Linked DNA regions of Macaca mulatta. The protein of the gene in region 2 interacts with the protein of the main gene of each other region in a pairwise test. Links are inferred from orthologs where the notes say so. Each region holds a gene or a part of one and is shown on either strand. Other genes may lie near its edges. The genes, in order: BCL2L12 and GSK3B.

Region 1 (15,685 bases), on a different chromosome or scaffold from region 2:
AGAGCAAGACCCTATCGCCAAAAAAAAAAAAGGGGTGTGTGTGTGTGACAAACCACTGGTCTTTAGGTAGATGAGAAACCAGCAAGAGAGACTTGAAAGGAGCAATGGGAGGAGAAAAACAAGAAGAGGGTGGTGTCCTAGACACAGGTGAAGTTAGACTGTACCTTTCTGTGGAACTCGCTAGAAAGACTCCATGACCATCATACAGCATTAGGTAGAATAACCAGATTGTGCAACAAGAAAAAAAAAAAAAAAAGCAAGTTGCTGGACTATTTACAGATATTCTCTCAAATATGTTACATGTCCAGGAGACAGGTTCTTGTAGGTGCTCCAAATAAATATTTCTAGAATGAACTGGTTCCTTCCTTAATTTGTGTAAGCCACAGAAATCTCTGAACCAAATCCCCTCTACTTAGAACTTCAGTTCTGGAGTGTAAGAACAGACAGTTGAACACTTTGTAACATTTTTAATACAAAAAGTTTTAAACAATTTATTTTTGGCAAAAACAGGTAGGGCGACCACCACCCCACAGCCCTGAGCTGAAAAGGCAGGCTTGGAAAAGCACACGAAGAGGGCAGGGACATGAGGTGTCATCTTGTAGCAGCTTCTGAGAAAGAGCTCAGTCCAATGGCAAGTTCAAGTCCACGGGTGAGGCGGCCAGGATGCCCTCCTGGAAGGGAAAAGTGGCAGAGCCCTGTGAGCAGGGCAGGTATTTCCCCCCTACAGCAGCGTCCACATCAGCCCTGTGAGATCAGAGACAGGAAGGCGAGGAACCAGAGAGCAGAGAGGGACAGACACCCAGAGAAGGGCACAGGGACGAGGGGGACAGAGTCCTGGCAGGAGGAGGAAAGGCACTGGAGTGGGGTCAGGCAGAGACCCAGACAGAGTGAAGAGTCGAGGGACAGAGTCAGAGACGGGGAAGTGTCTTGGGATTTGAACAATTCAGAGCGGTGGTTTCGTGTACAAATCCAGATTCCAACACGCTGCACGCTGGGGACTTTCCCTCTCCACCCCCACAAGATGAGGATAGTAAGAGCCCCATGCGGTTGTAGTGGGTTTAAATGGGATCATTCCATTGAAATCCCTGGCAGAGGACCTGGCCCACCAAGAAAGCTTGCCTGCTATCGATCCTATTGAAAATTTTTTTAAAGAAATTGTCCAGGCGTGGTGGCTCATGCCTGTAATTCCAGCACTTTGGGAGGCCGAGGCAGGTGGATCACTTGAGGCCAAGAGTTCGAGACCAGCCTGGCCAACATGGCAAAACCCCATCTGTGCTAAAACTACAAAATTAGCTGGACATGGTGGTGTGCGCCTGTAACCCCAGCTACTCAGGAGGCTGAGGCAGGAGAATCACTTGAACCCGGGAGGCGGAGGTTACAGTGAGCCAAGGTCGTGCCACTGCATTCCAGTCTGGGCAACAGAGTGAGACTCCGTCTCAAAAAATAAAATAAAGGCCGGGCGCGGTGGCTCAAGCCTGTAATCCCAGCACTTTGGGAGGCCGAGATGGGCGGATCACGAGGTCAGGAGATCGAGACCATCCTGGCTAACACGGTGAAACCCCGTCTCTACTAAAAAATACAAAAAACTAGCCGGGCGCAGTGGCGGGCGCCTGTAGTCCCAGCTACCCAGGAGGCTGAGGCAGGAGAATGGCGTGAACCCGGGAGGCGGAGCTTGCAGTGAGCTGAGATCCGGCCACTGCACTCCAGCCTGGGCGGCAGAGCGAGACTCCGTCTCAAAAAAAAAAAAATAAAATAAAATAAAATAAATGAGCTTCTTTGCTGAGCCCAACACTTATATCCAGTCCCCTCAACATGTGCGATGTGTTCTGATCTTACTATAGACTGGACCATCTCCAGTCCTGCTCCTCACCCCCATCGCCCCTGTCCCCACCCCCATAGCCCCCATCTGTCCCCCATCTTCTCAGGGAACTTAGATGTCGCCCTGCAGCTGCTTAGGCCAGCATCCTTTGGCCTGTCCCCACATCTGGCCCATTAGCCAAATCTGTCAGCTCCACCGCTAAGTTAAATCCAGCATGCTCCACTGCCCCTGACTTGGGTCTGATAGCAGTCTGTCTCTAGTTGGCCGCCAGAGGGCACCCGTTAACGCCTAAATCAGCGACTATCTAGGCTGCTCAGAGTCCTTGGCTTACCCGGAGTCAAAGTCCCAGTTGTCACTCACCGTGACCACAGGGTCCCGGCTGGCCCAGCGCCTCTCCTCCTCTCAGCTCTCGCCCACTCACCCTGCTCCAGCCCTACTGGCCTCCTCCTCCCTGCTCCTCAAACACACTTGACCAGCTCCTGCCAGGGAAACCGGTTCCATCCAGAGCCTGGCTTGTGTCCCTCTCTCGGTGAATACCCACAGCGACCCCCGAGGCAGGTAAATGAGACGGTGCTCACTGGACCGGGGGGAAAGTGTCACTCAGGGAGACTGCAACAGTCACCAAGTCACAGGGCCAGTATGCTGGAGCCCAATCCAACTCTGAAACCGGCACTGGAGATAAAGTAAGAGCGGGGAAGACTTTTGGGTCTTCTGAAGCTGATGTGTTAGAGGCAGGAGATGCCAGGAAAGAAAAATAAACCAGAAGATAAGCAAAACAAGTCAATTCCACCAGCTGTTAGAAGGCGCAAATTGCTATGGAAGGAAAAGTAGAGCAGGAAGCGGGAAGGAGGGTGGTGGGGGGGTGTGGAGGTGGCTGTGATAGTCAATGGGGACCTGGGAAGGCCTTGTTGGGGGTGAAACCAGACCCCACCAGAAGGGGCAGAGGACGGAGGCGGGGCTTCCCCGGGAGGGCATCCTGGCAGGCGTTGTTGGAACGGCAGCGAGTAGACACATAAAACCACATCAACAAATGCCCGCATGCCAGGCAGTGCACAGACAGCTTACCAGATTGACCCCATTTTAACCCTCAGAGTGACCCTCTGAGGTAGCATGACTACTGTCCCTACTTTATTTTTTGAGGCAGGGTCTCACTGTGTCACCCACACTAGAGTACAGTGGCGCAATCATAGCTCACCACAACCTTGAACTCCTGGGCTCAAGTGATCCTCCTGGCTCCTCTGCCTCCTGAGTAGCTGGGAGTAAATGTGTGAGCTCCCACACCTTGCTAATTTATTATTAATTTTTTTAATTTTTATTTATTTTTTGAGACAGAGTTCCGCTCTGTCTCAAGAGTTGAGAGACAGTTGCCCAGGCTGGAGAGTGCAATGGCACAATCTCGGCTCACTACCACCTCTGCCTCCCAGGTTCAAGCAATTCTCCTGCCTCAGCCTCCCAAGTAGCTGGGATTACAGGTGTGCACCAGCACGCCTGGCCAATTTTGTATTTGTAGTACAGACTGTCACCATGGTCAGGCTGGTCTCAAACTCCTGACCTCGAGTGATCCACCCACCTCAGCCTCCCAAAGTGCTGGGATTACAGGCGTGAGCCACCACACCCAGTTTTTATTATTTTGTTGAGACAACAGTCTCACTCTGTCACCCAGGCTGGAGTGCAGTGGCGTGATCTCAGCTCACTGCAATCTCTGCCTCCCAGGTTCAAGCGATTCTCATGCCTCAATCTCCCGAGTAGCTGGGATTACAGAGACCTGCCACAAAGCCCGGCTAATTTATGTACTTTTTTAGTAGAGACGGGGTTTCACCACACTGGCCAGGCTGGTCTCAAACTCCTGACCTCAGGTGATCCACCTGCTTCGGCCTCCCAAAGTGCTGGGATTACAGGCGTGAGCCACCACACCTGACCCTGGCTAATTACTTTCAATTTTTGTAGAGATGGGGGTCTTACTATGTTGTCCAGGCTGGTCTTGAACTCCTGGCCTCAAATGATTCTCCTGCCTCGGCCTCCAAAAGTTCTGGGATTACAGGCATGAGCCACCTCGCCCTGCCTCTCCCTGAGTAATCTCAGTCACTGGTTTCACGCTCACAGTATTAGTGTACCCAGTCGCTGACGCCAGGCATAGCATCCGCACTCATCACTGCAGTCCTGGCATACAGCAAGGGCTCAACACAGAACGAACGCAGTGGAGCTGGGAGAATACCTGAGGTCTGAGGGGAACCTAAGAACCTCTATCACAAGACAGTTGGGTAAAATGAGGCCCGCAGAGAGAGGCTTCAACGGCTCACCCAGCCCCCGTGGGCCTGGATCCAGGGCGTGAAGCTGTGCACGTGCTCCACGCTGAGTCCGGCCAGGGTGCCCCCCAGCCCGGCCACGCGCCGGCTCAGCTCCATGGCCAGGGCCAGGCGGGCCAGGGGCTCCGGGGAAGGAGGCGGCGGCCCGGGGCATGCTCGGCTTGGGTGAGAGTTGTCCTCCCGGCTACAAAACAGCTCCACCAGGCGGGCGAAAGAGCCGGAGGACAGGCGCACCAGCTTGCTGCGCAGGACGGGGTCCGAGGCCAGCTGTAGGGTGGAAAAGGCAGGGTCTGCGTCAGCAGCGCCCCTGGGGCCAACCAACGGGGCGGGGGGGGGGGGGGGGGGGGGCTGGGAGGCGTGACTTCCCGGTTCAGGATCTTTCTAGACGCTAAAGTTCTAGGCCACCCCTCATCCATATTAGCCAATCAAGCCGGACTCTAAGGTCTCTGCCAAACTACCCCCACCCTCGGGATACGGGCCTAGAACGCCTGTCGCTAAGCCACGCCCCTGCCCTTGCCTCAAGAGCCAATCAGGCCCAATCTCTATTGTAATGGAGTTAATCTAGCCACACCCCCGGTAGCCTTTCCCAGGGGCCTAGTGTCTACAACAATCTTGCCCTCTACCATTCAATCAGTATTAGAGGACCATGTGCCTTGCCCAAGCTCCTGAGCCAATCAGATTCCAGGACACAGCCACAAGCCAGGGCTCCTCTGTTAGTACATTTTCCCCTACATTGTAAGCCAGGCCCCTTCTATGCTCAGTAAGATTTTAGACACTCCCCCATCCCCACATTCATTCCCTTACTTCCCCAACCTGGTCAATCTCTTCTAGATGTTTTTGATGGCCACATCTTCTGAATTTAGGCCACACCCCTCTAACAATCAATTAAAACCACTAATTTACAGTACAGTACTACCCTAACCATACTCCTGTCGTTCAACCATTCTTTTTTTTTTTTTTTTTTTTTTTTTTTTTGAGGCGGAGTCTCGCTCTGTCGCCCAGGCTGGAGTGCAGTGGCGCGATCTCGGCTCACTGCAAGCTCCGCCTCCCGGGTTCCCGCCATTCTCCTGCCTCAGCCTCCCGAGTAGCTGGGACTACAGGCGCCGCCACCACGCCCGGCTAATTTTTTTGTATTTTTAGTGGAGACGGGGTTTCATTGTGTTAGCCAGGATGGTCTCGATCTCCTGACCTCGTGATCCGCCCGTCTCGGCCTCCCAAAGTGCTGGGATTACAGGCTTGAGCCACCGCGCCCGGCCTTTTTTTTTTAAGACAGAGTCGGCCGGGCGCAGTGGCTCACGCCTGTAATCCCAGCACTTTGGGAGGCAGAGGTGGGCGGATCACCCGAGGTCAGGAGTTCAAGACCAGCCTGGCCAACATGGAGAAACCCCGTCTCTATTAAAAATACAAAACTAGCCAGGCGTGGTGGCATATGACTGTAATCCCAGCTATTGGGAGCTACTTGGGAGGCTGAGGCAGGAGAATCGCTTGAACCCAGGAGGCGCAGGTTGCGGTGAGCTGAGATTGTGTCATTGCACTCCAGCCTGGGCAACAAGAACAAAACTCTGTATTAAAAAAAAAAAAAAAAGTCTCTCTTCGTCACCCATGCTGGCGTGCAGTGGTGCAATCTTGGCTCACTGCAACCTCCGCCTCCTGGGCTCAAGCGATTCTCCCACCTCAGCCTTCCAAGTAGCTGGGATTACAGGCATGTGCCACCGCACCTGGCTAATTTTTGTATTTTTAGTAGAGATGGGGTTTCACTGTGTTGGCCAGGCTGGTCTCGATCTCCTGACCTCAAGTCATCTGCCCACCTAGGCCTCCCAAAGTGGTGGGATTACAGGCATAAGCCACCACGCCCAGCCTCAACCCTTCATTGAAACCTTGTCCCAGCCTCTTTCCACCTGACCATCCAAAGAAAATACAGATCCAGCTTCTGATCCCAGTGCCCCACCATTCCGCAACTCTTGTCCTTGCCAAGGGGTGGGACAGACGCCCATCACCTTCTGGTTAATGACTTCTGCCTCCTCCTCCAGCAGGGCCACCAGCCTCCGCAGTATGGCTTCCTTCTCTGTGGGTGGGGGACCCTGTAATTCTGGAGGCAGAAGAGAATTTGGCTGGGGGCAGAACCCTATCCTCCTACTCCCATCCTTTTCTGGGGCTCCTCCGTGCCTCACCTGGGCTAGGTGGAGATTTCAGTTGCTCTTGGACCAGCTGTTCCAGCCGCTGAGCCACCAAGGCATAGAAGTCTGGAGTAGCTGGGCCTGGGGTGAAAAGAGTTAATGACAGGTTTCCAGGACATTGGAAACTTATGGATTCTCTCCTTCCCCCAACTACCGTGGCAGGTGGCAATGATTCCCATTTTATAATGGGGTAAGCTGAGTCCCAGTGAGAAAACTTGGTAAAAAATGCCAAAACCTTTGTACTTTTCATTTTATCAGATCCTCAAACTGCACTTAGAATGTCAGAGCTGGCCGGGTGTGGTGGCTCATGTCTGTAATCCCAGCACTTTGGAGGCCGAAACGGGAGGGTCACTTGAGGCCAGGAGTTTGAGGCCAGCCTGGCCAACATAGAGAAACCCCGTGTCTACTAAAAGTACAAAAATTAGCTGGTATGCTGGAGTGCATCTGCAAGCCCAGCCACTCGGAAGGCTGAGGCACAATAATCACTTGAACCCAGGAGGTGGGGATTGCAATGAGTCGAGATTGCAACCCTGCACTCCAGCCTGGGTGACAGAGCTCTGTCTCCAAAAAACTGTCAGAGCTGAACTAGACCTCGAAGATGATCTCATCCAAGGAAGGCAAACACAAGACACTACTGTTAGTATCCCCCTTCCCTCACCCACTTCAGACATCACCAATTGATCAAAACACTTCCTCTCCCCAGCTGTGAACTCCTTTTCAAGCTAGCACTTGCAGCAGCCATTACTAGTCTGTCCAGGTTCACACCTACGGGGAAACTTGTGGGTCACCTTGATCAAGTCCAGTGACCTCCTCCCCAATTCCTACTCTGCTATTGGAAAAACAGGGGAGCAAGGAAGAGAAAGCATTTTCCCCAGAGTCACGCAACTAAAACAGCCAGGGAGATGTAATTGAAAACCAGCCCTCCTACCCCTCTATCAGGGGTATTCCTGGCTACAAAAGTCCTAGGGGCAGGGAAGTAGTTATGGAAGGAAAGAGACGACAACCAGATGGACCAAATGCTCTCTGAAAGCCAACCCACAGCATTGACAGATAGAAATCTAACTGGGGAGAGGAGACGACAGGATGGTTCCATCCTGAAGGCTGATGCTAGAGACTCCACACAGCCACCCCCTGAGTGATCTTAAACTAGCACCTTATCCCGTGTTCTGCCAGTTTCATAGACGATCATGGAAATCTCTTACCAGGCTCTGAACCATAGCAGGGGCGGATGGGCAGAGAGCAAGGCCGAGGGGACTCCGGGGGTGCTGCTCCTCGCCCCAGGGAGCAGGGAAGACATCTTCGAAGGCGGCTCAGGAAGTCTGTTGGCTCTTCTTGGGCAGGGCTTCTGGGGAAGAGGACTTCAGAGAGTGACCCCACCAAAGATCCCCTGCAAGCAGGCTCTTTCCCCAACTCCCTCCCTCCCCCGCTGAGGACCTCTCTCCAAAACAGAGAATAGAGCCAGATATAAAGAGAGGAGACAGACTGAGACCAGGAGCAAGAGTTAGGAGGGAGCCTCAAATGCTGGCCCCTGGGGGAGAAGGGCAACTCCTCTTACCTGAGTGGAGTTGGAACAGGAGACCCGGCAGCCTCACCACGCCTAAGGAAGGCAGCTAGGACCCTCAGCGTGTCTTCCCGGAGCCCCAGCTCTTCAGAGCCTGCCATGGAGGCACCTGTGAGAGAGGGGACTAGGGACTGGACTCCAAGGGGTTAGCAAGAAGTGGAGGCTTGGTTGGGGACCAGGACTTGTGAGTCCCAAGGAAGGCCTGGACTCCTGGGTCCTTTGGAAAGTGTCGGTCTAGGGGCCTAGACTCTTGAGTCCTCAGACGAAAGAGGGGTCAGTAAAGACTCTTTGATCCAAGGAAAGGTGGGGGGGCTGGGTGCCCAGATTCGTGGGTCTAAAGGAGGAGGGAGCTGGGGTCCTAGACTCCTGAGTCTTAGAGAGAAAGGAACTGGAGCCCCAGACCCTTAGGTCTCCCAGGAAGAAGGGGCTTAGCGCCCCAACTCCTGGATTCTATAAGAGGCATATGCCAAACTACTGAAACCCTTAAAGCATCGGGAACTACCAATCCCAGGAGGCTTCAGGGCAAATCTTCCCCTCGGTCCGCGCTTCTTCGCCGCGCAGCCTGCTGTGAGGTGTAGTTCCAAATCCCCGACTCCTGCTGGAATCTAGAGGACCCTGGACCCTTGGATGTCGGAGAAGCGGGACTGGGGTGCCCACTACTGGATCCTGGCCCGCTCCTCTTCCCTCCTTACCCCACCCCTCGTCAACACCCCGCTGACCTGGTCCGGGGCCTCACCGCCGCCTCCTCCACTCAACCTGCCGCCGCCTCCACTCAACTTGTACAAACTTTATTAGTTCAACTTTCCCGCGCCTGCGCACTGGGCCGGGTCGGTAACTGGCCCAACGAAGAAAGGGCGGAACGCTGGATGCACGCTCAATTTGCATGTGACGCTCCCAGCATGCCTCTGGCCGGAAACCCAAAAAAGGGCATAGGGGCGGGGACAGCCCCGGGCCCCGCGGGCCGTCCGTTCGGCTCCGGGGTGTGTTACCCAAAGAATGATAAAGTTGGTTTTATTTCAAGAAGTCGATCGAAAAGAAAGCCTCAGCGTCTAGAGTTCAGCTGACGGGAAAGGGGGTGCGCAGCCTCGAGTTTGAGAGCTATCCGGAGCCCCAAAACAGGGGTGGGCGCCAGCTCCCTGCACGCCCTGAGCTTCTATCGTAGGTAACGCGGAAGAGCCTGGGAGAGCGTTAGTGGCGTCCGAGAGCGAGGAGCGGGAAACAGGATGGGTCTGCACGGAGAGTGGAAAGGCAGGCTGTGTACTCTGGGGAAAGTGGAGCAAGGAAGGAGCTACAGTGGCCGACGCTGGAGGTCGGCTGGAGAAAAACTAGAAAAAGTAGGGAGGAAAGAGGAAAACAGGAGGCGTCTACACTGAGGGGTTCTACAGAGGGAAGGATGGACTCCGTACATGGGTGTAGTTCACTCCCGAAACCTGAGGCGTGCTCTGTCCTGGAGGAGGGGGGCTGGCAGTCGAGGAGGAATTGGATGGAAGTTCTGTGTTGGAAATGTTTCGGGGGATCTTCTGTAGGGGGACTGGGGAAGGGGATCTACACTGGGGTAAATAGCAGGAGATAGAGGCTTACACGTGAATCGATTCTGCACTGAAATAACTAGGGAAAGAGGATGCTACCCTGAAAGTGGGGATACTTGCTTTCGATGATGTCGGGGAGAGAGGAGGTCTATACTGGCGGAATTGAGAGAGTGGAGGGTCTGCACTGAAGACACTGGGGAAGGGTATGCCATGGATATGGGAAGGAACCCTAGCGGATTAAGGAGCCTCTCGGGAAGATGGGAGGATGGGAAGAGGAGGTTTCCTGTTTGTACCCCCGAAAATATGGGTGAAGGACCTGTGCCGTGGCCCGTGAGAGGGAGGGTTCTGGGTGCGGAAACTCCAGGCCAGGTGGGTCCGGGGGAGGCCGGTCGCGCCCAGAAAATGCCCTATACGCGCAGGCCGGACCATGGGAACCCCAAAGCCACGGATCCTGCCCTGGCTGGTGTCGCAGCTGGACCTGGGGCAACTGGAGGGCGTGGCCTGGGTGAACGAGAGCCGCACGCGCTTCCGCATCCCTTGGAAGCACGGCCTACGGCAGGATGCACAGGAGGAGGATTTCAGAATCTTCCAGGTGCGTGAGACGACCGGGGACGCTGGAAACCCTGAGCTGCGCGCGGGGCAGAAAGGACTCCTAGCGGGCCGGGCTGAGACGGCGGAGGTATCGCCCGAGGGGCTGGCTCGTGCCAACGTTGGTGGGTGGGGCTAGAACGGGAGGGGCGGGGCTAGCCGGATCAGCTGACTGATGGTGGGACGCAAGCAGGGTTGGAGCTGCCCGGTTACGGCAATAAAACCGGGAAAGCCGGTTAGTACGCAAAGGAAATGAATCCTGGGGTTTTGGGGCTCTCTAGGGGCCGGGGCTCTTGGTTGTAGGATAGATACTGGGGGATGGTTTTTGAAACATCAGAGGTGAGACCTGGAGCCCCAAATCTGGGGTTCCTAACCACTGAATTAGTATATGCCAGAGGTGGTAAACAGTGTGAGGGGCGGGGTTATCACAGAGGGTGTCGCGGGGCAGGTGGTGCACGGGGTTAGACACCAAGTTGGACTTGGAAGCCTGGCTTAGAAAGAAGAGTTTTTTGGGCCGGGCGCCGTGGTTCACACCTGTAATCCCAGCACTTTGGGAGGCCGAGGCGGGCTATCACCTGAGGTCAGGAGTTTGAGACCAGCCTGGCCAACATGGTGAAAATACAAAATCATTGGTGAAAATACAAAATTATCTACTAAAAATACAAAACTTAGCCAGGTGCGGTGGTGCCCGCCTGTAATGCCAGCTACTCAGGAGGCTGAGACAGGAGAATTGCTTGAACCAGGGAGGCGGAAGTTGCAGTGAGCTGAGATTGCGCCATTGCATTCCAGCCTGGGTGACAAGAGTGAAACTCCATCTCAAAAAGAAAAAAAGGCTTTTAAAAACTCGAGGTGGGGGATGGAGGTAGATAGGACGGGGGGATTTGTGGATGGAACTTGCAGACTTAGAACTTGCCAGGGAAAGAGGGTGGTGTTAGGATCCAGGAGACAGGGTTAGGGCCCCAGGAGCAGGATCTAAGTCGTCCTCCCCCACTATCCTGACACCACTGTTGCCCCAGGCCTGGGCCGAGGCCACTGGTGCGTACGTTCCCGGGAGGGATAAGCCAGACCTGCCAACCTGGAAGAGGAATTTCCGTTCTGCCCTCAACCGCAAAGATGGGTTGTGTTTAGCAGAGGACCGGAGCAAGGACCCTCACGACCCACATAAGATCTACGAGTTTGTGAACTCAGGTCTGCCAGATCGGGGTTCATGTGGGAGGCTGGGGTCCCAAGGGTTCCTGGCACCCCTACTCCCCTCACCACCTTTCTCAACAGGAGTTGGGGACTTTTCCCAGCCAGACTACTCTCCGGACACCAATGGCGGAGGCAGTACTTCTGATACCCAGGTGAGAATGTGCCCAACCTTCATGCCCCTCAGTCTCTGTCGTGTCCCCATGGGCCTTGTCCTCTCCCTGTGGACCATCCCCCCGCTTCCCTGCCTCCAGCCTGCCCCTTACCTGAGCCAGTGGTGGCCCTGTCTGTTCCTGCTCCAGTCTCCTCAGGAGAAAATTCCGAGTTTTCACCCTGCATTCAAGGCCCTAGCACACCTTCCCAGGATTTCATGGACTTCGGCAGGGGGCTGTCAGCCTCTTGGGAACTGAAAACTCCCTCACCTTGATCCTGCTGAGGCCTGAGCTGGGGGAGCATCCCCTCTGAAATTCTACCCAGCCTGCCCCGCCCAGGTCTTACCTGCATAGAGCCAGATCCTTGGGTTGGAATGGTAGCACCTGGCGTTCATTAAGAGTGTTTGGCTGTTGATGCCATGGCTGGCTCTGTCCCCATGCTGGAAGCCCCTTGAAGGCAGAGCTCAAGCCTGACCTCCCTGCATTGCTGAGAACAGACCTGGTCCATATGAAGTCTCCAGAAAAGACTATGGAAATGCCTGATTCTCTTTCTTTGTTTCCCTCCAGGAAAACATTCTGGATGAGTTACTGGGTAACATGGTGTTGGCCCCACTGCCAGATCCAGGACCCCCAAGCCTGGCTGTAGCCCCTCAGCACTTGCAGAGCCCCAGCTTGGACAGTCCCACTCCCTTCCCAAACCTGGAGCCCTCTGAGAACCCACTGAAGCGGCTGTTGGTGCCGGGGGAAGGTGAGTGTCAGCTGCAGGCTGGGAGGGCTGAGGTCTGGGCGGCAGCCCCTGATTCTCAATCTCTCTCCCCTTCACACGGCTGCTGCCACTGCTCAGAGTGGGAGTTCGAGGTGACAGCCTTCTACCGGGGCCGCCAAGTCTTCCAGCAGACCATCTCCTGCCCGGAGGGCCTGCGGCTGGTGGGGTCCGAAGTGGGCGACAGGACGCTGCCTGGATGGCCAATCACACTGCCAGACCCTGGCATGTCCCTGACAGACAGGGGAGTGATGAGCTACGTGAGGCACGTGCTGAGCTCCCTGGGTGGGGGACTGGCTCTGCGGCGGGCCGGGCAGCGGCTCTGGGCCCAGCGGCTGGGGCACTGCCACACATACTGGGCAGTGAGCGAGGAGCTGCTCAACAGCGGGCATGGGCCTGATGGCGAGGTCCCCAAGGACAAGGAAGGAGGCGTGTTCGACCTGGGGCCCTTCATTGTAGGTGAGTGAGATGGGGGCTTCGCCCTGCCCAGTAGAAAGCAGACTGCACAGTGGTTAAGAACTCAGGATTGGCCGGGCACGGTGGCTCACGCCTGTAGTCCCAGCACTTTGGGAGGCCGAGGCGGGCAGATGACGTGGTCAGGAGTTTGAGACCAGCCTGGCCAACATAGTGAAACCCCATCTCTACTAAAGATACAAACAAATAGTCGGGCATGGTGGCACACGCCTGTAATCCCAGCTACTCGGGAGGCTGAGGCAGGAGAATCACTTGAACCAGGGAGGGAGAGGTTAAAGTGAGCCGAGATCGCACCACTACACTCTAGCCTGGTGACAGAGCCAGACTCTGTCTCAAACAACAACAACAAAAACTCAGGATTAGGACTGAATTCAGACCCTGGCTGCCCTTGGCCCACTGTATAACCCAAGGCAAAGGACTTTGCCCTGAGCCCGTGGAATCCGAGGACGGTCTCCTCTCTGTACCTGCCTGCCAGCACTGGGGTGAGACACAGGCCCAGTACACAGCATGCTCGGGGAATTAGCTGCCGCTGTCATCATTATCGTAACTAATGATGGTGGACAGACCAATAGCAGGAAAGCTATGTCCCTTAGGGTTTCGCTGTGCGGTGGCACTTTCTGCCATGATGGAAATGACAGTCACCTGCACTGTCCGGTACAGCAGCCACTAGCCACAAGGGCCGAGCACTTGGGTGAGGCGAGTGCCACCAGGACACGATTCGTTTTTTTTGTTTGTTTGTTTTTTTTGAGACGGAGTCTCGCTGTGTCTCCCAGGCTGGAGTGCAGTGGTGTGATCTCAGCTCACTGCAAGCTCCGCCTCCCGGGTTCACGCCATTCTCCCGCCTCAGCCTCCCAAGTAGCTGAGACTACAGGCGCCCGCCACCTCGCCCGGCTAGTTTTTTGTATTTTTAGTAGAGACGGGGTTTCACCGTGTTAGCCAGGATAGTCTCGATCTCCTGACCTCGTGATCCGCCCGTCTCAGCCTCCCAAAGTGCTGGGATTACAGGCTTGAGCCACCGCGCCCGGCCTACGATTCGTTTTAATTGATTACAATTTAAACTGAAATGACCTCACATGACTAATGGCTGCAGTTGGACAGTGCGGCCTCAGAGGGGACTGAATGCCAACCAGCTTCTCCTCCAGATTCACTGGCATCCTTGGAAGCCTGGGCCCCCTACTCTGGGCCTGTTGTGAATGCTGAGGCTTGGGGGCTTGCGGGGGTGGGGGGCCTTCCAACAACCCCACCATGATGGGAGGGAGGGAGGGAAGGAGGAGGAAGTATACAAACAGAATCATGGGGACTTTCCCCAAACAAGCAGTCCTCTGGGCGAGGCAGCAGAGGGCCTTAGGTCAGGGGAAATGGTGGGGATTGCCATTCAAGTTTACGGGGAAGGGCGTGTAGAGGGTCCTCTTCTCATCACTGACTAGACTCCTGGGCCCCCAGATCTGATCACCTTCACAGAAGGAAGTGGACGCTCACCACGCTATGCCCTCTGGTTCTGTGTGGGGGAATCATGGCCCCAGGACCAGCCATGGACCAAGAGGCTCGTGATGGTCAAGGTGCCTGCAGACCTGAGTCCCTGGGGCTGAGAGGGGTGGCCTTACAGAGGGAAGAGGTTGCTCCCAGGAACTCCAACTCCCAGAGGGCCCTCTAAAAGATTGCAACTTCCAAGATCTCAGCAATAACCAGTTTTTCATCCCCGGGAGCTCCTTCCCACGGCCTCACCTGCAGAACCTGCTTTGAACTCTCTAAACCAGTGGTCCCCAAGCTGTTCGGCACCAGGGACCAGTCTCACGAAAGATAATTTTTCCACAGACAGGGAGGGGGTGGTTTGGGGATGAAACTGCTCCACTGCAGATCATCAGGCATTAGATTCTCCTAAGGAGCAGCCTAGATCCCTCGCGTGTGCAGTTCACGATGAGTTCGTGCTCCTCTGAGAATCTAATGTTGCCGCTGATCTGACAGCAGGCAGAGCTCAGGCAGTAATATTCCCTCACCCGCTGCTCACATCCTGCTGGGCAACCTGATTCCTAACAGGCCGTGGGGGGTTGGGGACCCCTGCTCTAAACCATGTCGAAGCTGGTGGACTTCAAGTTTTAGCTGCCATTGTGAGGCCATGGCTGTGGCTCCCACGAGTTGAGATCACAGACTGCTCAGCCCTGACATCTGGGAATACTCTAGCCTCATATGAGTGTGTGTGTGTGTGTGTGTGTGTGTGTGTGTGTGTAGAGGGAAATCTACAACTCCCAGCAGCCCTGGGCCTATGGTTCATCCTGGGTTATAGCAGAGGCTGCAGGAAGTTGTGTGTGTGTGTGTGTGTGTGTGTGTGTGTGTGTGTGTGTGTGTGTGTTTCATCCTGGGTTACAGCAGAGGCTGCAGGAAGTTGTAGAGTGTGTGTGTGTGTGTGTGTGTGTGTGTGTGTGTTTCATCCTGGGTTACAGCGGGGGCTGCAGGGAGTTGTAGTTCTCCCAGCCCTGTGTGTGTGTGTGTGTGTGTGTGTGTGTGTGTGTGTGTGTGTGTGTGTGTGTTTCATCCTGGGTTACAGCGGGGGCTGCAGGGAGTTGTAGTTCTCCCAGCCCTGTGTGTGTGTGTGTGTGTGTGTTTCATCCTGGGTTACAGCGGGGGCTGCAGGGACTTGTAGTTCTCCCAGCCCTGTGTGTGTGTGTGTGTTTCATCCTGGGTTACAGCGGGGGCTGCAGGGACTTGTAGTTCTCCCAGCCCTGACTCCTACCTTGGTGGACACTGGCCGGGTGTTTTCCCTGACTCCTGTCCCAGGAAGGGGGTAAGGGGGTGGGTGGGTGGGTGGGTGGGTGTGTGTGTGTGTGTGTGTGTGTGTTTCATCCTGGGTTACAGCGGGGGCTGCAGGGACTTGTAGTTCTCCCAGCCCTGACTCCTACCTTGGTGGACACTGGCCGGGTGTTTTCCCTGACTCCTGTCCCCACTTCCCCCGCAGGTTGTGCCCACGTGCCTCAGGGCCTTGGTAGAAATCGCCCGGGTAGGGGGTGCCTCCTCCCTGGAGAACACTGTGGACCTGCACATTTCCAACAGCCACCCACTGTCCCTCACCTCTGACCAGTACAAGGCCTACCTGCAGGACCTGGTGGAGGATATGGATTTCCAGGGCCCTG
Region 2 (15,027 bases):
AGATAAAAGAGCAATAAATTCAACTGCATAGAGGGGAGGAATGACTCTTACACAACAAAAACCAAAACAAAACAAAAAAAACCTACCATACACAAAGTAAAAATTACATATATCACACCTAAGTATAAATTCCATAATAAAGGACTCTTCAGGGTTGATTGGGAAAAACCAAAATCGCATTTTTAAAATGGGCCAAAAAAAAGACAATTCATACAGACTCACAAAAACAAATAAAATGGACCTTGAATACATGAAAAGATGTTTAAGTGTACTCAAAATAGGAAGATTGTAAATTAAAACTACAATGAGATACCATTTCTCACCTATGAGATTAGCAAAAAATTTAAAAAGTAAGGCAACTTTTATAGCCAAAACTATGGGCCAACAGGCACTCATACTTAACTAGAGAGAATGCACATTGGTATAACCTTTATGGAGGGGCATTTAGCAGCTGTAAAAAGGATGAAAAAAAAATCTCTGAACTGATATGCAATGAATTCCAGGAAATATAACTTAAAGAAAAAGCAAAGTACAAAAGAGTATCTCCAATATGCTACCTCCTGTGTAAGGAAGAAAAAAAATGCATAAATGAACAGGTATGTGTAAAACAAAACTGAGGAAAAGTAAGCCAGAACATAATGAGGTTGGCCACCTACAGGGAGCGAGTGGAAATAAAACAGAAAGAATTGAGAAGAAACTACACTAGATTTCTGACTTTTGGAACCATATTAGTGTTTCACAGAGTGAAAACATAAATAATTTTTTTTAATCAAAAAGAATGGGGGCGAAGTTCTAAGAAGTGATACATACAGAAACAGATGAACCTAACTACTTCAAATTAATAGTCTATGCTGTAGGGAAAATTTAAAATTATAAAAAACAGAAAAATCCAAATACTTTTTGAATATAATATAAAATCCATATGCCTTTCAAACTAAAGATAAAAAACACACAAGCACTGAACTCTGCCCCCAGGGGTATGAGTTAGCAGTTCTGAAACTACCTTGTAAATTCTAGGATTGAGCAAATAAAGTAAATATATTGTGGATGACAGCAGTCAGGTTTTCTCACTTCAGAAAGAAGAGTTACAAATATAGAAATACAGAAGGCTAGAGTGAACTCTGTGATGTTGCTCTGCAATTAAAAGTATTAATTTTTAATAAAAAGAAATACAGAAAAAAACACGTGTGAATATGCTTGCATGCATGTGCACACACATACACCTATTGTCTAAGTTCTGTTGGCTAAGAGGATCTAGATCCAGCTTGAAAGGGCTTTCACTAGCCAAATCTGAAGCAGTTTTTTTTTTTTTTTTTTTTTTTTGAGGTGGAGTCTCACTCTGTTGCCCAGGCTGGAGTGCAGTGGCACAATCTCAGCTCACTGCAAGCTCCACCTCCCGGGTTCACACCATTCTCCTGCCTCAGCCTCCCTAGTAGCTGGAACTACAGGTGCCCGCCACCACGCCCGGCTAATTTTTTCTACTTTTTAGTAGAGACGGGGTTTCACCATATTAGCCAGGATGGTCTCAATCTCCTAACCTCGTGATCCGCCTGCCTCAGCCTCCCAAAGTGCTGGGATTACAGGCATGAGCCACCACGCCTGGACTGAAGCAATCTGGGTATCAAAATAAATGACTAAGATTATAACCCATTTAATAAAATAAGAGTCAATGAGTCCATATGATATATACAAATAAATGAGAGAAGGGAAAAGCTTTCCTCATAATCCTTACAGTAGAATCTAATTAATAAAGAAGGAAAAAAAGAATTAGAAAATCACCATTTGTAGCCATTACTATAACTGATTCTAACAAAAGCTCATTAATGCATACTGAAACAAGTTGGTAAAAGCTGTATAAGAAAAAGGTTATTTACATAATCTAAAAGTATTTCCCTACAGATTCCTTATTAATGATGAAGAGAAAAACAGTAACTCTACAGTAAAGAAACCTAGCAAACACTACCTTAAGTGACAGAAGTCAATATCATCATTAACTAGACAGACAGACATCATGGGTCTCCTGATATAATGCCTTAAGAAGAAAAAAATAATTTCTATGATATTCTTTCTAAAAATGAATATGCTGAACCTAATTATGAGGAAACATTACACAAACCCAAATAGCTGTCCTATACTATTCAAAAACATGAATGTCATGAAAGACAGCAAGTGAGGAACTCTTCCTGGTATAGAAGACTAGAGATATCACAACTAAACACATGACCCAGGATTTTCTTGTGCTACAATGGACATTTTTGGAACAACTGGACATATTTCAATAAAGCCTGCACATTAGATAATACTATTGTATAATTGTTAATTTCTTGATTTTTAAAATAATTATTATGTGGTTACATAAGCAAATGTCTCTGAGTTTGGGAAACAGACACTGAATAATTTAGGGATAAAAGAGCCTCACACTTAAAAGTTGCATTCAAACATTTCAGGAAATAATATGTGCGGCCAGGCACACACATCTATAATCCCAGTACTTTAGAAGGCCAAGGCAGGAGGATCACTTAAGCCCAGGAGCTTGAGACCAGCCTGGGCAAAACAGGAAGACATTGTCTCTATCAGAAAAAAAAAAATTCAAAACTAGCTGGATGTGGTGGCGCACACCTATGGTTATCTATTTGGGAGGCTGAGGTAGGAGAATCACTAAGCCTAGGAGTTGGAGGCTGCAGTAGCCATGACCATACCACTGCACTCCAGCTGGGTTATATGGCAAGACCTTACCTGAAAAACATAAAAATAATATATAGAGAGAGGAAGAAACTGTAAAAGTGAGTGTGATAAATATTAGTATTTGGAAATCTGGATAAAAGGAAATCTGGATAAAAGGAAATTATTTATAGTAATGGCAATGTTAAGCCTGAAATTTTATATATATATATATATATATATATATATATAATTTTTTTTTTTTTTTTTTTGAGACGGAGTCTCGCTCTGTTACCAGGCTGGAGTGCAGTGGTGTGATCTCAGCTCACTGCAACCTCCGCTTCCCAGGTTCAAGTGATTCTCCTGCCTCAGCCACCATGCCCAGCTAATTTTTGTATTTTTTAGTAGAGACAAGGTTTCACCATGTTGGCCAGGATGGTCTTGATCTCCTGACACTGTGATCCACCCGCCTGGGCCTCCCAAAGTGCTGGGATTACAGGCATGAGACACCATGCCCGGCCTAAGCCAGAAATAATTTATTTATTTTTATTTTTTTTTGAGATGGAGTCTCCCTCTGTCCCCCAGGCTGGAAGAAAATTATAATGAACATGTAATAATATTGAGAAAAGCAACATAGTAAAGTACCCTCCTAAAGGGCATCAGCACATTAAATGCATCTAGAAGATGCCCAAGTTCAAAACAAACGGAGGAGGCAGTGTTCAAATGGTTAAAACAAGACGTATTTACATGGAGGAAGACTTGTACTTACATATAAGATGTATTTGCATGGAGAAAGACTCCCATTCCCAAGAGCGACAAAAAAATTACTACACATAACTAGATAAAATAAGTAAGAAAAGTTTAAAACCTACATAATTATAAAGTTTTACATCAAAAATTGGATTAATGCAGAGAATTATCACATTTCTGGATGGGAAGGCTGAATATTGTAAATCTGTACATTCTGTCCAACTAATCTGTAAATTTTACACGATTTTAATCAAATCTAAAGTTTGTTTTTGTTTTGTTGAGGTTGCAGGAGAAACATCACAGGCTAATGATACTTGATACACAGATTTATTAAGAGAAATACTCATTTGTTAACACTCAAACTACGCTGTTAGTTCTCATCATCAGAGAAGTGTTACATAAGCCAAAATGGACAAATCAGTGGAAAAGAAAAGGAAACCCAGAAGAAAATCCAGTGTATATACGGTAACATAATACATGGTTTTTAAAATGCCATTTGCCCACCAGTGGGAAAAGGATAAACTTTATAAAAATGGTTTCTGAGACAAATGACCTACTACTTGGGGAAAGGTTAACTTATATTACTACTTTATACTACATCCCAAAATATAACCCCAGAAAGATTAAAGAAATATGGCAAAATAAAATTCCTAGAGAAAAATGACATTATTTATCAGATACAACAGGCCCTTTCTCAGCATTATGCCAAAGCCCAAATCAACAATATCTGAAAAGCAAAAGGTATCACAAGCAAAGTCAACACAAACAAATAATTTTTTCTCACAGATGGTTCATATTATTGTGGAGGCAGCTTCTAGGATGGCCCTAAATGATACCTGCCTCCTGGTATTCACACCCTTGTCTAATCACCTCACCAATATTAGGTTAGAAAAAAACTTTTGGTTTCTGTCTTGGGCTTACTATTTTTCCAGTGGATCCCTTGCCATGTGGGAAGCTAACTGGCAAGACCTCAGAAAGCCCAGTGAACAGGCCCGTGTGGCAAGGGACCAAAGTCTGCCGACGATCACACAGTACACTTGGGGACAGATATTTCCTCCTTCAAACAAACCTTCAGATGAGACTGCAGCCCTGGCTGATGCCTGGATTACCGTCTGGTGAGAGGCCCTGGGCCAGAGGTTCCTAGCTAAGCCATGCCTGAATTTCCAACGCACAGAAGCACTGAGATAATAAAATCTTTGTTGCTCTACACTATTACATTTTAAATGGGTTTTAACAAATGAGTAAGGAAGACACACACTCTAAAAGGGGGTAAAAAGAGTCACAACATGAAAAATGATGTTGTAAATTAAAAAAATTTTTCAGGGCCAGGCATGGTGATTCAGACCATAATCCCACCACTTTAGGAAGCCAAGAGGGAGAACCAGTTTAGGCCAGGAGCTCGAGACCAACCTGGGCCATGTAGTGAGATGCATCTCTACAGAAAATTTAAAACAGAAAAGAAAGTAACAAAAATAATTTTTCACCTACAGAATTGAAAAACATAAAAATACTCCTAATATCTAAAGGCTACACAGGAAATGGGCATTACTCATATTCAAATAAGGTACATTTAAATGGATAAAATCTAACTAGAAGGCAGCCTATATCAAGGTTTAAAGTGCTCTCCTACTCTTCAACCCTAGAATTCTACTTTTATAAACTGTATTCTGATAAGGCATATATATACCCTGTTTGGTAGGGAAAAAAAATTTTAATAGCTATCAATTGAACAATGGCTAATTAGGGTATATCCACACAATAAAATATAATGCAACCATGAGAGAATGAAATAAAACCAATCTCTCTCTTTCTTGAGAAGGAGAAAGAGGGTGTGGTTTAAATACTTTGATAGAAAGAGGTATGACACTGAGAATCTGATACTATGATATAGAAAGAGGATTAATACTGTGAGAGAAAGAGAGAAGGGGTAGAGGGGTTTGATACAGTGAGGATAAAATGTGTTAAGGCACTGCAGAGTCTGTCCAGATTCGAATCTTTGCCCATCCGTCCACTTGCCAACTGTGTGACCCTGGACAAGTTAATTTAAAATTTCTTTGTACTTAGGCTTCCTTATCCAAATGATAACAGTATCAATCACACAGTACTAATGGTAAGAATTATGTAAAACTACACATGTCAAAAAATACATATAATAAGCAAGTATTTGCTATCATCAACTACTAATCCCCCAAAATGGAATGTGTGGGTATTTAGGAGACAAATATTTAAAAAATAGAGATGCTGTCATAAAAAATGTGGAATTTCCTAGTTTATGGACAATAAGGGCTCAAGGAATTTAGAACAGCAAGATCTCCGTAGCTGACTTGAATCATCTGGTAAGTTTCATACAGGAAGAATTTGACCTGAGTTTTCACAGATGCACAGAATTTACATAGCAGGAGAATGGGAGTGATAGAAACGCTGAATAAAAGCAGAGTGGTCATAGAGAAGAACATATTTCAAGGCCAATAATATAAAAAGTTTGGAAGTTAAGTATCTGGAGAAAATGGAAGACTATGGAAGTTTCTGAGTACACAAGTAAACTAGGCAGGTTTTACTTTCTAGACTATGAAGAGCCATAGAAGATTTATGGGCAAGAGAAACAACATGACCAGTGAAACCTCTGGGATTATTCTAGTCTTAGTATGCAGAAGAGATTAGAAAGGAGAAGACTAAGGTAGACGTTTATAAGTGGTTAAGCCAAATAATGACAGGGTCTGACAAGAATAGTAGTGAAGAGAAAGAAAAAGAAGAGACACAGCCACAAGACAGTATGAGGAAAAAAGAAAATCAAGTTAAACAATGACTGGATATTAGGGATGAGCGAATAGAATAGTCTGAATAACAGTGAATTATAAAACCATTAAAAAGAAAAAGCAAATCCAAAGTTCTGGGAACCAGTAGGAGAGATTTCCATTGAGTCTTAAAAGTTAAGCCGTGGTTAGATAAGATGGCTTGCCAAACTGAGATAGCAGTACAACATTCAGATATCAAGATCCAGTGGGCATTTGACAACATAAGACTAGTACTTGGGGGAGAGGTGAGAACTGAAAACAAAAACAACTGAATTTTTTAAAACTCTTTAGAACGTTCTAGACATTTACAGCAGATGGACATCAGAATGTGGTATAACTGGTGTTAGAACAGAACAGTGATCACTTATTATTATTATATGCCTTCATGTTTACCATAGGTCTTAGCACATAGGAAGCTCTCAATAAAATGTTGCAGAGGTGGGAAGGGTAGGAAAGGGAGCAATGCTGCATAGTGGCAGAGGCTTAATTACAGCAGCCAGTGTCTTCTGGCTCTCTCTGCTATACCACAACATAGAGATAACATCTGAGCTTCCATGCATAGGCTCCCCTAATGAGGTACAGAAAAAGAAAAGAGATGACAAGAACTGAACCTTGGGATTGCTAGTGTCTAGAGGCAGAAGGACAAGAAAAAGGAAGATAGCAAAAAAAAAAAAAAAGTTACAAGAAAAATGAATAGTGTTGTAACATGGTTTGGATGTTTACCCCTTTCCAAACCACATGTTGACATGTAATCTCCAGTGTTGGAGGTAGAGCCCGGTGGGAGGTATTGGATCAAGGGGGTCAACCCCTTATGAATGGGTTAGCACCATCCCCTTGTTGATGAGTGAGTTTCCACTCAGTTCACAGGAGATCTGGTTATTTAAGAGAGTCTGGGGACGGGCATGGTGGCTCATGCCTGTAATCCCAGCACTTTGGGAGGCTGAGACAGGCAAATTGCCTGAGCTCAGGAGATTGAGATTAGCTTGGACAACATGGCAAAACCCTGTTTCTACAAAATAATAACAACAATAAAAATAATAATAAAGTCTGGATCTCCCCCTTCATGCTCTGGCTCAGCTCTCACCATGTGATGCACCTACTCGCCCTTCACCTTCTGCCCGTGATTAGAAGCTTCCTGAGACAATTATTAGAAGCAGATGTCTGCACCACACTTTCTGTACAGCTTGCAGAACTGTGAGCCAATTAAACCTCTTTTCTTTATAAATTACTCAACATCAGGTATTCCTTTATAGAGATGCAAAAATAGACTAACACAAGTTGCATCATGAATTAAAAAAATTTTTTTCAAGAAAGGAAGCATAGGAAACTACACAAAATACTTATATGCTACAGGCAGTGTTCCTCTGGTCTACATCAACACAGTACAAGGGTGGGGACAGGTCGCTTTTTAAAGTATAAATTAAGAAACTTTAACTTACCTTTCACAGGATTTATATATATATGTCATTTATAATGACTACAAAAGTAATACTGCAATCTTCAGTGAATTTTCTCTCTACAAAATACACGACTAGAAATAAAATCATTGTAATGCTTGAGCTGGACAAAAATGTGCACAATAGAAGAAATTTGAAGCAAAAGGAAACAACCAAAAAATAATCATTTATGGTACATGTATTATGACAGCAACAAAACACATGAAATACCAGACGTTTTACCTTAAATCTCTTGTCCTGCAATACTTTCTTGATGGCGACCAGTTCTCCTGAATCACAAAGTTTGGCTTGATACACCACACCAAATGATCCATTTCCAATCACTTTAGTGTCTGTATAGCTGACTTCTTGTGGCCTGTCTGGACCCTGCCCAGGAGTTGCTACCACTGTGGTCACCTTGCTGCCATCCTTGTCTCCTAACGGAAGAAAGGAAAAAAAAATTTTTTTTAATGAGAACTATAAGGAATTAAATAGAGAAAATTGCCAACATATACAAGGTAAACTAAATTCTTTCTTTCTTTTTTTCTTTCTTTATTTTTGAGATGGAGTCTCACTCTTGTCACTCAGGCTGAAGTACAGTGGCACAATCTCGGCTCACTGCAACCTCTGCCTCCCAGATTCAAGCAATTCTCCTGCCTCAACCTCCCGAGTAGCTGGGATTACAGGCACCTGCCACCACGTCTGGCTAATTTTTGTAATTTTAGCAGAGACGCGGTTTCACCATGTTGGCCAGGCTGGTCTTGAACTTCTGACCTCAGGTGATCCACCCTCCTTGGCCTCCAAAGTGCTGGGATTATAGGCATCAGCCACCGTGCCTGGCCAAAATAAACCATATTCTTTACTACAAATTATTTTTCGTTTATCACATGTAATTACTTCAATTACTTGTTTTGATTATAAGTCATTTTTTAAACTCCCATGTATTTAGTCATTCCACAGACCAAACACAATGCTTAGTTTCAATCCTATGAGGTAGACAGTACTGTTCCCACATTATAGGTAATAGGAAGAATGTTAGATTTGCCCATGGTCAAATAGCAAATTGTGAGCCCATAAAAGTCTGACCTTATCCATCCAATTCTAAAAGGTCTTAGGGCTTTTCTCAAGATCTTATTTTACTTGAAAATAAAATGTGTGCAAATAAAAATGTTTAATAATTCTGACTCTCTTCAGATCCTTCTGCGTTTAGGAAAGTAAGGCTTTGAGTTTTAAGTTCCCTGAATAATCTTTTTCACAAAGTAGAAGACCTCTCAGAGAAAGCTCAGGTTAAGAAAAGAATGTTAATTTGGGGTTAACAGATATAAAACTTAAATAATCCAATCCATTCTGAACTGAGGCCCAATTACAAGCAGATTACTGGCTCCAGGGTCTCTATTTACTCATAGCTCTCTTCTTCCCTTTTTTGCCTTCTCTCATCCCTAGTAGCAATTCAAAGGCTTTCTTCAATTGAGGCACAAGAGCCACCTCCTACTTGACCAGGCACAGTCCACAGTCACCATGTTGTTTTCTGAATTCTTAATCGATTCTCTGAATTATGCTACCTAGTATCTGATCTAAAAGAGCTTTACATTGTTCTTTTAGTGACTTCAATGTACACAAAAATGTCTACTATTTCTTCTCTCTTCCCTGACAAATCTAAAACCAATTCTCAGTACAATATAAGTCCTCAGGCTCACTTATTGGACTTTTACTTTTTCCTGTTATTCTTCCATTATGACAATTTTCATTTTAAAATACTAACTGAATTCCAACTAACCTAATAAAAGTAATATAATATTTATGAGTATTTTTCTCTGTGAAATATAAATTGCTAGATAAATGAATATCCAAATGCACTAATAAGATATTATAACCAATATTTATATCCATTTAAATTCACAGAAGTATTAATATACACAAAAGCCAGTGAATGTCTGCGACCAATTAACACCTTCGTTTGCAAGATGGCATTTATGGTTGCTTCCAAGATGGCCGAATAGCTCTGGTCTACAACTCTCAGGAAGATCGATGCAGAAGACAGGTGATTTCTACATTTCCACCTTAGGTACATGGTTCATTTCACTGGGACTGGTTGGACAGTGGGTGCACCCCACGGAGGGCGAGCCGAAGCAGGGCAGGGCGTCGCCTCTCCCAGAAAGCGCAAGAAATCAGGGGATTTCCTTTTCCTACCCAAGGGAAAGCATGAGTGACTGTACCTGGAGGAGTGATACACTCCTGCCCAAATACTGTGCTTTTCCCATGTTCTTCGCAACCAGCAGACCACGAGATCCCCTCCCATGCCTGACTCGGCGGGTCCCACACCCACATAGCCTTGCTCACTGCCAGGGCAGCAGTCTGAGATCAACCTAAAATGCAGGAGCTTGGTGGGGGGAGGGGCGTCTGCCATTGCTAAGGCTTGAGTAGGCAGTTCTATGCTCACAGTGTAAACAAAGCAGCAGGGAAGCTCAAACTGGGCAGAACCCACCGTAGCTCAGCAAGGCCTACTGCTTCTTTTACATTCCACCTCTGGGGGCAAGGCATAGCTGAACAAAAGGCAGCAGACAGCTTCTGCAGACATAAACGTCCCTATCTGACAGCTCTGAAGAGAGCAGTGGTTCTCCCAGCACAGCGTTTGAGCTCTGAGAACAGACAGACTGCCTCTACAAGTGGGTCCCTGACCCCCGTGTAACCTAACTGGGAGACACCTCACAGTAGGGGCCGACAGACACTTCATACAGGCAGCTGTCCCTCTGGGACGAAACTTCCAGAGGAAGATCAGGCAGCAATATTTGCTGTTCTGCAATATTTGCTATTCTGCAGCCTCTGCTGGTGATACCCAAGCAAACAGGGTCTGGAGTGGACCTCTAGCAAACTCCAACAGACGTGCAGCTGAGGGACCTGACTGTTAGAAGGAAAACTAACAAACATAAAGGAATAGCATCAACATCAACTCAAAGGACATCCACACCAAAACCCCATCTGTAGGTCACCAACATCAAAGGCCAAAGGTAGACAAAACCACAAAGATGGGGACACAGCAGAAAGGCTGAAAATTCCAAAAACCATAACACCTCTTCTCCTCCAAAGAAACACAACTACTCGCCAACAAGGGAACAAAACTGGACACAGAATGAGTTTGACAAGCTGACAGAAGTAGGCTTCAGAAGGTCAGTAATAACAAAAAATTTCTCCGAGCTAAAGAAGTATGTTCTAACCCATTGCAAGGAAGCTAAAAACCCTGAAAAAAGATTAGACAAATGGCTAACTAGAATAAACAATGTAGAGAAGAGCTTAAATGACCTGATGGAGCTGAAAACCATAGTACAAGAACTTGGTGAAGCACATACAAGCTTCAATACCCGATTCAATCAAGCAGAAGAAAGGATATCAGTGATTGAAGATCAAATTAATGAAATAAAGTGAGAAGACAAGATTAGAGAAAAAAGAGTGAAAAGAAATGAACAAAGCCTCCAAGAAATATGGCACTATGTGAAAAGACCAAATCTACGTTTGAATGGTGTACCTGAAAGTGATGGGGAGAATGGAACCAAGTTAGAAACCACTCCTAAGGATATTAACCGTGAGAACTTCCCCAACGTAGCAAGGCAGGCCAACATTCAAATTCAGGAAATACAGAGAACACCATAAAGATACTCCTCGAGAAGGGCAACCCCAAGACACATAACTGTCAGATACACCAAGGTGGAAATGAAGGAAAAAATGTTAAGGGCAGCCAGAGAGAAAGGTTGGGTTACCCACAAAGGGAAGGCCATCAGACTAACAGCGGATCCATCGGCAGAAACCCCACAAGCCAGAAGAGAGTGGGGGAAAACATTCAACATTCTTAAAGAAAAGAATTTTCAACCCAGAATTCCATATCCAGTCAAACTAAGCTTCATAAGTGAAGGAGAAATAAAATCCTTTATAGACAAGCAAATGCTAGGATTTTGTCACCACCAGGCCTGCCTTACAAGAGCTCCTGAAGGAAGCACTAACCATGGATAGGAACAACTGGTACCAGCCACTGCAAAAACATGCCAAATTATAAAGACCATCAATGCTAAGAAGAAACTGCATCAATTAATGGGTGAAATAACCAGCTAGCATCATGACAGGATCAAATTCACACATAACAACATTAACCCTAAATGTAAATGGGCTAAATGCCAAAATTAAAAGACACAGACTGGCAAACTGGATGAACAGTCAAGATCCATCAGTGTGCTGTATTCAGGAGACCCATCTCATGTACAAAGACATACACAGGCTCAAAATAAAGGGATGGAGGAAGATCTACCAAGCAAATGGAAAGCAAAAAAAAAAAAATCCCGGTCTCTGATAAAAAAAAAAACTTTAAACCAACAAAGATCAAAAGAGACAAAGAAGGCCATTACACAATGGTAAAGTGATCAGTTCAACAAGAAGAGCTAACCTAAATATATACGCACCCAATACAGGAGCACCCAGATTTATAAAAAGCAAGTCCTCGGACACCTACAAAGAGACTTAAGACTCCCACACAATACTAATGGGAGACTTTAATACCCCACTATCAATATTAGACAGATCAAAGAGACAGAAAATTAACAAGGATACTCAGAACTTGAACTCGGCTCTGGACCAAGCAGACCTAATAGACACCTACAGAACTCTACACCCCAAGTCAACAGAATATACATTCTTCTCAGCACCACATCGCACTTATTCTAAAACTGACCACATAACTGGAAGTAAAACACTCCTCAGCAAATGTAAAAGAACAGAAATCACAACAAACTGTCTCTCAGACCACAGTGCTATCAAATTAGAACTCAGGATTAAGAATCTCACTCAAAACCACACAACTGCATGGAAACTGAACAACCTGCTCCTGAATGCCTACTTGGTAAGTAACAAAATTAAGGCAAAAAGAAATAAGTTATTTGAAACCAATGAGAACAAAGACACAACATACCAGAATCTCTGGAACACATTTAAAGCAGTGTTTAGAGGGAAAGTTAGAGCACTAAATGCCCACAAGAGAAAGCAGGAGAGATCTAAAATCAACATCCTAACATCACAATTAAAAGAACTAGACAAGCAAGAGCAAACAAATTCAAAAGCTAACAGAAGACAAGATATAAATAAGATCCAAGCAGAAGTGAAGGAGACAGAGACACAAAAAAACCTCAAAACAAAAAAAAAATCAATGAATCCAGAGGCTGATTTTTTGAAAAGATCAACAAAATAGATAGACCACTAGCAAAACTAATAAAGAAGAAATGAGAGAAGAATCAAATAGATGCAATAAAAAATGACAAACGGGATATCACCACCGATCACACAGAAATACAAAATACCATCAGAGAATACTATAAACACCTCTACGCAAATAAACTAGAAAATCTAGAAGAAATGGATAAATACCTGGAGAATACACCCTCCCAAGACTAAACCAGGAAGTTGAACCTCTGGATAGACCAATAACAGGCTCTGAAATTGAGGCAATAATTAATAGCCTACCAACAAAAAAAGTCCAGGACCAGACAAATTCACGGCTGAATTCTACCAGAGGTACAAAGAGGAGCTGGTATCATTCCTTCTGAAACTATTCCGATCAATAGAAAAAAGGGGAATCCTCCCTAACTCATTTTATGAGGTCGGCATCATCCTGATACCAAATGATACCTGGCAGAGACACAACAAAAAATAAGAGAATTTTAGACCAATATCCCTGATGAACACTGATGCGAAAATCCTCAATAAAATACCGGCAAATCGAATCCAGCAGCACATCAAAAAGCTTATCCATCACGATCAAGTTGGCTTCATCCCTGGAATGACAGGCTGGTTCAACATACACAAATCAATAAACATAATCCATCACATAAGCAGAACCGACACAAAAAACACGATTATCTCCATAGATGCAGAAAAGGCATTCAACAAAATTCAACAGACTTTCATGCTAAAACCTCTCAATAAACTTGGTATCGATGGAACGTATCTCAACATAACAAGAGCTATTTATGACAAACCCACAGCCAATATCACACTGAATGGGCAAAAGCTGAAAGCGTTCCCTTTGAAAACCGACACAAGACAAGGATGCCCTCTCTCATCACTCCTATTCAACATAGTATTGGAAGTTCTGGCCAGGGCAATCAGGCAAGAAAAAGCAATAAATGGTATTCAAACAGGAGGAGAGGAAGTCAAAGTGTCTCTGTTTGACGTCTCAGGCCAAAAAGTCCTTAAGGGGATAAGCAACTTCAGCAAAGTCTCAGGATACAAAATCAACGTGCAAAAATCACAAGCATTCCTAGACACCAATAACAGACAAACAGCCAAATCATGAGTGAACTCCCACTCACAACTGCTTCAAAGAGAATAAAATATCTAGGAATCCAACTTACAAGGGATGTGAAGGACCTCTTCAAGAAGAACTACAAACCACTGCTCAACGAAATAAAAGAGGACACAAACAAATGGAAAAACATTCCATGCTCATGGATAAGAACCAATAATGTGAAAATGGCCTTACTGCCCAAAGTAATTTATAGATTCAATGCTATCCCCATCAAGCTACCACTGACTTTCTTCACAGAATTGGAAAAAACTACTTTAAACTTCATATGGAAACAAAAAAGAGCCTGCATAGCCAAGACAATCCTGGGCAAGAAGAACAAAGCTGGAGGCATTATGCAACCTGACTTCAAACTTTACTACAAGGCTACAGTAACCAAAACAGCATGGTACTGGTACCAAAACAGAGATATAGACCAATGGAACAGAACGGCGGCCTCAGAAGTAACACCACACATCTACCACCATCTGATCTTTAACAAATCTGACACACACAGGCAATGGGGAAAAGATTCCCTATTTAATAAATGGTGCTGGGAAAACTGGCTAGCCATATGCAGAAAAATGAAACTGGACCCCTTCCTTACACCTTATAGAAAAATCAACTCAAGACTGATCAAAGACTTAAACATAAGACCGAGGTCCATAAAAATCCTAGAAGAAAACCTGGGCAATACCATTCAGGACACAGGCATGGGCAAAGACTTTATGTCTAAAACACCAAAAGCAATGGCAACAAAAGCCAAAATTGACAAATAGGATCTAATTAAACTAAAGAGCTTCTTCACAGCAAAAGAAACTATCATCAGAGTGAACAGGCAACCTACAGAATGGGAGAAAATTTTTGCAATCTGTCCATCTGACAAAGGGCTAATATCCCGAATCTACAAAGAACTTAAACAAATTCACAAGAAAAAAGCAAACAACCCCATCAAAAAATGGGCAAAGGATATGAACAGACACTTCTCAAAAAAAGACATTTATGCAGCCAACAAGCATATGAAAAAATGCTCATCATCACTGGTTATTAGAGAAATGCAAAT

What was found.
Region 1: the proteins of GSK3B (region 2) and BCL2L12 interact in a two-hybrid assay, tested with the Homo sapiens proteins (2 studies listed by BioGRID and IntAct). The link is inferred for Macaca mulatta from reciprocal best matches to the Homo sapiens genes GSK3B and BCL2L12.

What each region holds. Positions count from the first base shown.
Region 1 is NC_133424.1:62,111,996-62,127,680, reverse strand, and holds BCL2L12 (bcl-2-like protein 12), read right to left. Parts: upstream 8,718-15,685; 5' UTR 8,583-8,717; intron 8,486-8,582; exon of another isoform or gene 8,366-8,485; intron 7,973-8,365; 5' UTR 7,965-7,972; coding exon 7,858-7,964; intron 7,648-7,857; coding exon 7,505-7,647; intron 6,384-7,504; coding exon 6,297-6,383; intron 6,215-6,296; coding exon 6,123-6,214; coding exon of another isoform or gene 6,074-6,122; intron 4,393-6,073; coding exon 4,120-4,392; intron 672-4,119; coding exon 621-671; coding exon of another isoform or gene 592-620; 3' UTR 456-591; downstream 1-455. Other genes in the region: IRF3 (interferon regulatory factor 3), read left to right, coding at 9,820-10,071, 10,997-11,168, 11,253-11,323, 11,888-12,068, 12,165-12,542, 14,001-14,116, 15,511-15,685.
Region 2 is NC_133407.1:163,720,185-163,735,211, reverse strand, and holds part of GSK3B (glycogen synthase kinase-3 beta), read right to left. Parts: intron 8,080-15,027; coding exon 7,886-8,079; intron 1-7,885. UniProt on the Homo sapiens protein: Constitutively active protein kinase that acts as a negative regulator in the hormonal control of glucose homeostasis, Wnt signaling and regulation of transcription factors and microtubules, by phosphorylating and inactivating glycogen synthase (GYS1 or GYS2), EIF2B, CTNNB1/beta-catenin, APC, AXIN1, DPYSL2/CRMP2, JUN, NFATC1/NFATC, MAPT/TAU and MACF1.